2 linked regions of the Drosophila melanogaster genome follow. The protein of the gene in region 2 interacts with the protein of the main gene of each other region in a pairwise test. Each region holds a gene or a part of one and is shown on either strand. Other genes may lie near its edges.

Region 1 (4,348 bases), on a different chromosome or scaffold from region 2:
GGGTTTTTTGCTTAATTAAACGCAATTTTTTTATAAAATATAATTAAACAATATTTATTTTACTTATAAATCAAAAAACAAATTAAAAATATTAAATATACAAGAAAATAAACAACAAATTCCAAGTTTACACACTTTTGAGACTGTCAAGAAACTCTTTACACAAAACACTAAATCGAAGTTTAATCCTAAATTTTTTAATTATTTTATTAAAATTTTAAAAGTTTTGGTATGTAGTATGTTCCCCATTGGCTTTAGCTACAAGTTGAAGCCTTTTTTTCATGGATTGGACAAGTTTTTGCAGGTCATATTCAAACGGGATCTTTTCACACTCTTCGACTATTACAGTCATAAGCTGTTGTTGTGTTTTAGGTCCCTTTTTGCCACCTTCTTCTTTAAGTAGGTCCACAAATTTTCAATGGGGTTCAGATCAGGACTCTGAGGGGGCGTATCGATCACTTTACCACAGTTATTAAGGCGCCAGGTGCGTACATTGCACTCTTTATGTTTCTGATCATGTCCTGGTAAAACTTAAGATTTGGCTTGTTGTTGCTAACTAGACCGAATTTTTCTGCACTGGCCTTCAAATTTGTTTTTTAACATTTCTAGATATTGCACGGCAGTTATTGTGCTCTCAATTAAGGCTAGTTTTCCCACTCCACGGCTGGTGATACAGCCCCAAACCATCAGTGACATTTTTCCAAATTTTATCGTTGGAATGATATTTTGTTTTTCTAGCGCACTCAACGGTTTGCGCCATACTCTGCTTGGCCCGTCGTTATAAAAGAGCATCATTTTTGTTTCGTCACAAAATATGACGTCATCCCAGTACTCTTCCGCATGATCCATCATGCTCACAGCGAATTAATGACGCTTTTCCATATTGGCATCTGATAGCAAAGGGTTTTTCCTTGCAAATCTTGAAGAGTACCTATGGCGTAGGATGACTTGGCGCACAGTTTCGTGTGACACAGTTAGGTGGCATTCTTGCCTGATATCCAGAGCAAGTGATCTGACCGAGATTCGGGGGTTCGCAATCACTATTCGCATAATAAAGCGGTCTACACGCTTTTTAATTTTAATTTTCCGCCCACCACCGCTCTTAGGTTCAAGCCTGCCCTCTTTTTCCGAGCCTTTTAAAACATTGTAGACGGTCTTACGGGATACAGGAAACATTTATACTAATTCTGGAAAAGATTTTCCCAACTGGTGGTTATAGTTTATTAATTGGGTAACTTCAAAAGTTAATCTCTTTCCAGGCATTTTATTAAATTTAATAATTCGCTTTAAGCACGTTTGATCAGCAAAATTTCACAAGCAAAGTCAACAAAATTTCAATAGAAGCGTTGTAAAAAGCAATGCAAAGCCAAAAATAACGGAAAAATCGAGTTCGTTCTAAGAAAAAGAACAAAACAAAGTAGGAAAACAAAATGTGTAAAGAGTTTCTTGACAGTCTCAAAAGTGTGTAAACTTGGAATTTGTTGTTTATTTTCTTGTATATTTAATATTTTTAATTTGTTTTTTGATTTATAAGTAAAATAAATATTGTTTAATTATATTTTATAAAAAAATTGCGTTTAATTAAGCAAAAAACCCTTTATTTTTAGCTTTAAAGTCAAAAATTCAACTTATTTCACAGTGTGTAAACAGTTTCTTGACAAACTGTATATATTTTAATAAAGTTTATAGCGTAAGTAAAAGTTAACTGAGAAAGTGTTTTTTACTTAAAAAAAATTGGATAGATCATAGCATGGCCATACATCGCTTTTGATTCGCCAATGCAGCACAGATATTTTTTCTAAAATAATATTCTTTCAAAATTGCAGTTACGCGTTAATATGAAATGAAAATTCAAATATTTCATAATGAAATTTATGTTGGCAATGCTGAACTATGCATTGGTGTCGGAACGACAGTATGGTATTTTTGCGTATTACGGTCACACCAATGCCGGCAGAACAATTTGTTATTAAAACAAAAAGAGTTAATTATAGCGCTTAAAAGGTAACAGCTGTGCGTTTGCATTGTTGCTTAATGCAAGCAAGTTAACTACCCTGCAACTAAAAATAAATATTCAAATCGGAGCTAGGCAATCGCATTGGCATTGGAATTTTAGTAGTTTTGTAAACTATATTTGTTTAAATCGGTTACACGCTGACAACTATAAATTATAATAGCAGTGAAGTGAATGAAATTGATAAGCTTATCTTTTCGGAAGCGCAGCAACAATAAGCGCGTTCCACCAAAATCAATTGAAGTTCTGCCCGTTGAAATAGTTACTTTTTTGACTGCGTGGCTACAAGTTGTGGGCGTGTTCGAATTTTGGGTATGTGCGTACAGTAGAGACTGGCTGACACGGACGGAACAAGGATTTAGTACATAGAAGGAGTATCTTTTCTTTGAAGTTTAGTTTTGTTCCTAATTAACATTCAAAATTATATATCTTTACATAATTTACAAAATTAAAGATAGTTGGGCGACCACTGTACACAGATTTATTATAAATATAAAGAGCGGCAATAATTGTAAAGGCCGCGTGTAATAAATAGCGTATAAACCGAATCCAATAGCCATATACGTACGTGGATCTCGTTTCAGCCCAATCATGTCCAAGTACTTATCTGTCCTACTGCTGTCCGCGGCACTCGTTGGAGCTGCCAAGCCGGAAGATAATGAATCGTGCTATTCCTTCGCCGGCGGCTCCGTTTATCCCGACCAGCCGAAGGGCGACCATCAGCTGCAGTACACCAAGGCAGTCAGTGAGTTCCATTGGATGCAAAAAACCAGGGATCACTATTAAGTTGCTGCTACCCTTATTTCCCCAGTTTCCAAGCCAGCTCCGCAGTTCGAGGGCACCGCCGTGGTTAATAAGGAGATTGTGAAGCTATCATTGTCCCAGTATCTAGGGAAATATGTGGTGCTACTCTTCTACCCACTGGACTTGTAAGTTTACATTTACATTTAGTATGATCGCATTTCTCATTGCCATTTTAGCACCTTTGTATGCCCAACGGAGATCATTGCCTTCTCCGACCGCATCGCCGAGTTCAAGAAGATCAAGACCGAGGTGATTGGCGTCAGCGTGGACTCGCACTTCACCCACTTGGCCTGGATAAACACGCCGCGCAAGGAGGGCGGCCTGGGCGACGTGAAGATCCCACTGCTCTCCGATCTAACGCATAAGATCAGCAAGGACTACGGAGTCTACTTGGAGTCCAGCGGTCATGCGCTGCGCGGTCTCTTCATTATCGATCAGACCGGAGTGCTGCGACAGATCACCATGAATGATTTGCCCGTGGGACGCTCTGTGGACGAGACTATTCGTCTGGTTCAGGCCTTCCAGTATACGGACACCCATGGAGAGGTTTGCCCAGCAGGTTGGCGGCCAGGTGCCGATACGGTAGGTTTTTTGAAGCATTGCCTTAGGTAAATTCTTTTTGATACCATTACCTTTACAGATCGTTCCCAATCCTGAGGAGAAGACGAAGTACTTTGCCAAGAACAACTAGGGACAGATAGAGATGCACATTACCTTAGTAGCCTAGCCCAGTTACATTCCTAATGTTCACGACTGAATCACGATGCAAACGAACAATCGCTAGAGTCCTCTGTACAGAAAATCCAAATCCGCAATGCCACCGATTGTGAATATTTCGCATTTGCTTTGTACAAAACATAGTTTGTTTATTTTACAGCATAACTGAGATATAAATAAATTCATGAAGTACATGTGAAGGTGATGAAAATTGCGCGGCGCCACAGGAGCGGTACCAAAAAGGAGGAGATGTTTTCGATCTCAAAATGCCTTGAAAGCTGGCTCACTAGGCCACTCTAATGGGTAACAATTCGATTGCAATTAGTTTCATACAAAAATATATGTAATATGTAATATGTAGTAGGTAAAAGGTAATAGTAAATTAGTTAGGTACGCCATGGTTGCAATTAAGTTATCCTGTGCTCCGACCTATGCGTACAACAAAGCTAGGTCTGTCGAGGTATATAAATCTGGGGAAACGGGACGGGGGCGACGACAATAACTAGGACGTCATAAGGCACTCGTTCTCGTCGGATTCTTCGTGTGTAGTCTGCTTTCTGTTTTCCGTTTTGTGCGTTTGTCAGTAAGTGCTTCATTGTGGTGAGCTTTAAATGCCAAAACCGAGGTTCATAAAATAACGAAGGTGCAACTGCGGTTCAGATCCAAGTTGTGCGGGAGATTCCTTTGCTGCGGAGATTCCGTATCGATCAAAGCGTTGCACTGTTCAGATTCCCGGAAACGTTAATCAAATAAGGGGTTAAAAAGTTCTTAGAGCTATGACCATGCAACACGTCGAACCAAAAAGCAGTCGGC
Region 2 (5,455 bases):
TTGCACGCACGTCAAAATGGCGCATGGCAACTATGGTACCATGTGCGACATCTGCGCCCAGGTTATACGTGGACGAGCTGCCTTCCAGCGACATCAGCTGGAGCACGCTGGTGTCACGGAGCCCAAGGTTCAGTGCGACATCTGCGGATCCTGGCATAAGAACAAGCACAGTCTCAAGAAGCATGTGCGGCGACATAATGGCACTGCTGCCACTTGCGATCTGTGTGGAAAGGTTTCGCCCAATAGGAGTGCCATGCTGAGTCACCAGCGATATGTGCATCTCACGGATAGGAAGCACGAATGTAGTGTGTGCAATAAAGCCTTCAAAAAGGCCATCACACTGAGGGAACACATGACCATGCATACGGGCGAGGTGCTTTACAAGTGTCCTCACTGCCCGAAAACATTTAACTCCAATGCGAATCAGCACACGCATCGTAGGAAGTGTCATCCCAAAGAGTTCGAGGAGGCAAGGAAGGCACGCACCGAGAAACGAAAAGCCATCGAGGAGGAGACACCCAGCGTGTTGACCATCTCAACGGGCGAAGATGGGGAATCCCACAGCATTCTGCTGACAAATACCGAGGAGGATATTAAGGGAGATACCATCGAGTTCACTCTGTGTCTCAGTGCCGATACCACAGATTGAAAATGATTTCTGTTACATTTGGTGTACCCGTAACCAGCACAGTTAAAAAATGGCAGAATTGGAATTTGAAAGATTTTTCTAACAAAAAAAAAATGAAGTCAATTTCCTAGACATTTTAAATAACTATCTAAATTAGAAACAGGGTGTTTATTTTTAGATCCTTAAGCTAGCAGCGTTTAACAAAATAGACGGAGATTTTAAGTGGAATGTTGCTTTATGTTGTGGAAACAAATACTAACCCCGTTCACAAATAATTTCCACAGCATTGGGCTCCATTAAAACGGACTCCAAGCACCTTTGCACAGCTGAGCCAAGAATCTCGTCCAGCAGGAAGTTCACCAGACTGCCAAACAAGTGTGTTTAGTTTATCATATCTTTCAGTTTTCGAAACTAACTCACTTTTCATCGCTTACAAATCGCCATAGGTTCATTTGCAGATAATGAGCATCCACCTGAATCTGCTGAAGTCCGAATTTGCTAAAAGTTCTCAGCCTCACGCATTCCAAAAGGGTCTAGAAACATAAATCACGTAAATAGCCACCTTCATTTCATAAACTCACTTACTTTTAGACCAATTTTAATAATTCCCATTATAATTGAGGCCTTGGTGAACTCTACTGAAGTAAAGATTTCCACTCGCTCCGAAAACAAGCGATGTATGTTGGACACATAGCTGGATTCCAGCTGCGAAGGCGTGTAGTTTGACCAATTGGAACGATACTGTGGCTTTGAGGTGGAAGCAAAGTTACTGAAATATGTTTTTCGGCTAGAGTCACTGCTCGCTGTGGTGCGGAATCCTGACGTTGCATTAGTGTTTGCCTCGTACAGACTGGCCACCACCGTCTCGATGCTGCCGAGTTCCTCCACCACACGCTTCATCACCGCACGAACGGATCGTGGTTCCAGGCAGTTAAGCCAATCCCTTGTTTCCACGCTCTTGCGTAACATTTGCGAGATATTGGTGCCCTGCAGCCGCACATAGGCGTCCAATAGTGACTGTGCCGTCTCCCGCATTTCAGCACATATCTCAGTTTCGTGGGTAAGCGTTGCACTGTTCTCCGAGTCGATTTCGTACAGGTCATCAACCAGAGCAATCTGAGGATTTAGTTTGTTAGGGAATCAAAAATAGTTGCAATAGAAAGCTCACCAGTATGTGAACGCCCTGTTGCTCGAGTTCCAGACACGTTTTCGACAGCACCAGCAGTAGATTGGGTGGACTGGAGCTGGAGGCATCTCCGAAACCACACATCACCTTGGCAATATGACGTAGGAAGCCAATGAGTAGGTTCTCCCGAATGCCCTCTACGCACAGGGCGCCCTTGTGTTCCGCCTTGATGTTAAACGACCAGTCGGTGCGCAGGAATATAAGCAAGTCCTGCAGTACACCCTTTATTTTCTCCACCATGGACACATAAAGGTTGCTTATCAGATCACCGAGATTGAGACCAGCAGCTGCATCGCTCTTGGCAGAAACCAGCGACAGACGAACCGCACTCAAACTGTCGGCAAAGTGATCTTTGAGGTTTTTGGCATGGGCATCGCATAGTTGGTGGGCAGCCGAAATAATGATAGATACTGTGTTGCGTTGGACCTCCAAGCCGCGGCAGATATTTCGCATGGCCTGAAGGCGCCGATGAAGTCGATCCAGAGCGCGTAGCATTACCTGGGTATCGCCGTAGCCAATGTCGGACTCAACACGATCCTGGACGAGTGTCAGATACTTTTCGATGTTCTGATTGAGGAAGACATTTAGCTCCTGCAGGGCGTTCTCCTGAAAGTCATCGCTGAAAATGGAATGGATAATAAAACTCAATTAAGATTATACAAAATATTGTTCAATTTACCGCTCATGCTCGTAGTGCTTGGCCACAAACATGTCAAAGTAGGAAGTCACTACCAGTGCCAGATCGTTGAGGAAACCATCGATGCCCATGTCCACAAACTCCAGCATATCACGCTCTGTTTGATCCTGCAGCATGACGATTTGCTCGTGCAGTCGTTTGCCAGCGCAAGTCAGCATTTCGCTTGCCAGATCCGAAGTCTTTTCGTCCAGCTGCAGGAGTAGCTCTCCAATTTCCGTCAAGGATTGGGCCGTGTTCCCAGCCCTTTGAAAGTCACTTCGCAATTGCTCCTTGAGATCTGCCATGATGGCGTCGCAATCTCGCTGGATTCCATCGAAGGACGGCTGTCGACCGTACTGGGCGAACACCTTCTGGGCATGCAGGTAGTCCTGGACAGCTTGTGCGTAGTTCTGTTCCTCGATGAGGGACTTCAGTTTAGCTGGCAGAGTTGAGAGAAACTGCAGCCTTTTGAGGAGCGAGTGTTTCTCGGACAGGCGACATAGTTGCGATCTGGTGCCCTGCAGCGTTCCGGTTATTTGCTCACTAAAAGTCGTTATGGATTGCATCTTGGTCATCAGTAGGTTCACATCCGTTTCCATCTGCTTGAAGTCATCTTTCATCCGGCGAATTGTATCCGTGGCGGAGATGAATTTGTTGTAATTCTCGTAGACCAGCGTCTGCATATCAGAGTGCAATGTCTGTGTGTCCTTGACCACCGCCGCCTCCGTATCCATTATTTGCTTTAAGGAGCAATCCTTTATTTGTGAGTAACAGCCAGAACAAAAAGTGCATAAGTTAATGATTATTACTTCACTATTTTGTTGTTCTTACCTTGAGCAACCTTTCCAGATACTTTTCCGCATCGAAGCTGGAGCTGTCCATGTCGAAGGGATTGGCTTTGGTTTCAGCCATTTTGTAGAACTTTTTTTTACCACTAGTCTAAATAAATAAATAAACTAAATGTTGTGAACTTGTTGTTGCTGAAGATTTATCGTTTTTTTCGTATATCGATAAGTTAAGGTGTGTTGGGCAACGAAAAATGTTTCCCTCATTTAACAGCTGACTACCAATATTGTTATCGATATCCAATACCGCCACACAATCATTTTTTGAACGGTGCGCGTTTAGCAACTTTTTATTTTAAATTAAATAGAAATATTATTATATTATTATTATATTATTAAGTGAATAATAATTTAGACAGTTAAATGTTAATGCAGAATAGTACTGCTATGGCATTATATTGAAAGAATTTTAATTTTTAATATTTTTCTGAGTATTTATAAAGTTAGTGTCTTTATTAAATATATTATTTTATTATCTTTTTTATTGTTTTTTCTTTTTGTTTTTATTTTTAGGCACATAGGTGTGTGATGAATTGGTATTAAATCGTGAGAGACGTGAACTGAGATTATCTTAGTTTGCAAAGCTCTCTGTCATTTTTATTCTAATCGCGGCTTTGTTATTGGGAATCTCCCATTTCAAACTGATAAGAAAATACTTGTTTGTTTTTCATAAATGGCATTAATGTAAAAGGTTTTATTAAAGCAATCACAACATGAAGCTATTACTCTTTGTTTCCGCATTAATTGCAGCTCTGTGCAGCTCATTTGTGACTGCTGGTTAGTAACAACAAAATGTTAGTTAACTAATGTACCTAATTACTTAAACATTTTGTAGATTGCTTAACGGACCCCGTGACAATGCTGTGCATTTTGGACCCAAATCATGGCAAATAACTTTGTATATCACCTGGCTCAATAAAGCACAAAAGTAGAACACGATGTGGGCTTCTGTATCCTAAGTAATTCAACAGTCTCCCCAGACTGAGTTACGTGTGGCAAATCGCATTAAACATTCCACGCCCACCGCCTCCACACTACCAGACATCTTTTTTGTTAAGGTCTTATACCCTGTCGTTGGGTATTTCGAAACTGCGATTAACTATGTAACGCTTATTGAAAGATATATTCTTCTGAATTCTGAATTGCCCTATGTTACAGTTTTAATATCTTTTAAACATCATTAAATCATTTTTTGTAATGGGTATTTTCAGTGTCGTGGCATAAATATGTAGCAGTTGTTTGTACTTCTTGGTGCGTCCTTTTTTATTTCGGTGGGAGTTCGTCTGCCCGCTGGCGACCGTGTCAAGTTGAATGAACATGGACAAGTTTTTGCCACATTCCGAGGGCCTAAAGTTCCCTGTGCTGCTGTATCTCGCATCTGAGTCTCGCTTTTCGGCTGCTGGCCCTGCAGCATTCCCCGTAATTTTCCCACCATTCGCACTATATTTTATCCTGGGCTCCTTTCGCTCTCGTTCCTTTGTGGCGTCTCATTTCAAATACATTAACATTTTGACCTTTCGCAAAAAAGTTCGAGCTGTTGCCGGGGCCGAATTTAATTTCGAGTTGTGTGCAGATTGTGCAAATCACACGCTCTCCAATGCCATCAGCCTCCAAACTTGTATCATGTGCACTGAGAAAAATGTATAGCAATGAGGAGTTTGATGAGGATCCTAATTCGCAACACACTATGCTATTATATGTTTGTAATGAATAACCATTATTCATATTCCAAATCATTTCTATGATTGAAAACTAAAACTTTTAATTGCAATGGTCTTCTTAAAGGTTAGACAAACAAAAAAAGAAAAGACCGACAGTGGGACAGTGTGTCACACACTCGCGCTTGTGTGTGGCATGAACTTTGCTTTCATCAAACTGAAAATTGAATTTACGTAAGCCGAGCGAAATATAACAAAAAAAAAAAGTGAAAAGCTGAAGGACGTGAGGGCGGCGGAAAGCGTCGAACGTGTCAAGGTCAAGTTGCCATTGTCCCAGGTTTTCCACACCTCACTTTCTCCCCCACCCCACTCCTGCTCCCCTTCTCACTTCTGCGTGCGGCACAGAGAAAGCTGTGCACACCACCCACGTTCGGCCCACTAATATGTTTTGTGCAGTTTGAA

The links.
Region 1: the proteins of Vps51 (region 2) and Prx4 interact in a two-hybrid assay, tested with the Drosophila melanogaster proteins (one large-scale study listed by BioGRID).

Annotation. Positions count from the first base shown.
Region 1 is NT_037436.4:3,040,447-3,044,794, forward strand, and holds Prx4 (peroxiredoxin 4), read left to right. Parts: upstream 1-1,912; 5' UTR 1,913-2,004; intron 2,005-2,103; exon of another isoform or gene 2,104-2,326; intron 2,327-2,598; 5' UTR 2,599-2,605; coding exon 2,606-2,759; intron 2,760-2,825; coding exon 2,826-2,943; intron 2,944-2,994; coding exon 2,995-3,400; intron 3,401-3,458; coding exon 3,459-3,509; 3' UTR 3,510-3,728; downstream 3,729-4,348.
Region 2 is NT_033778.4:18,707,374-18,712,828, forward strand, and holds Vps51 (vacuolar protein sorting 51), read right to left. Parts: upstream 3,493-5,455; 5' UTR 3,403-3,492; coding exon 3,322-3,402; intron 3,246-3,321; coding exon 2,494-3,245; intron 2,434-2,493; coding exon 1,797-2,433; intron 1,745-1,796; coding exon 1,214-1,744; intron 1,162-1,213; coding exon 1,049-1,161; intron 993-1,048; coding exon 884-992; 3' UTR 779-883; downstream 1-778. Other genes in the region: CG15073 (uncharacterized protein), read left to right, coding at 1-649. UniProt on the Drosophila melanogaster protein: May act as a component of the GARP complex that is involved in retrograde transport from early and late endosomes to the trans-Golgi network (TGN).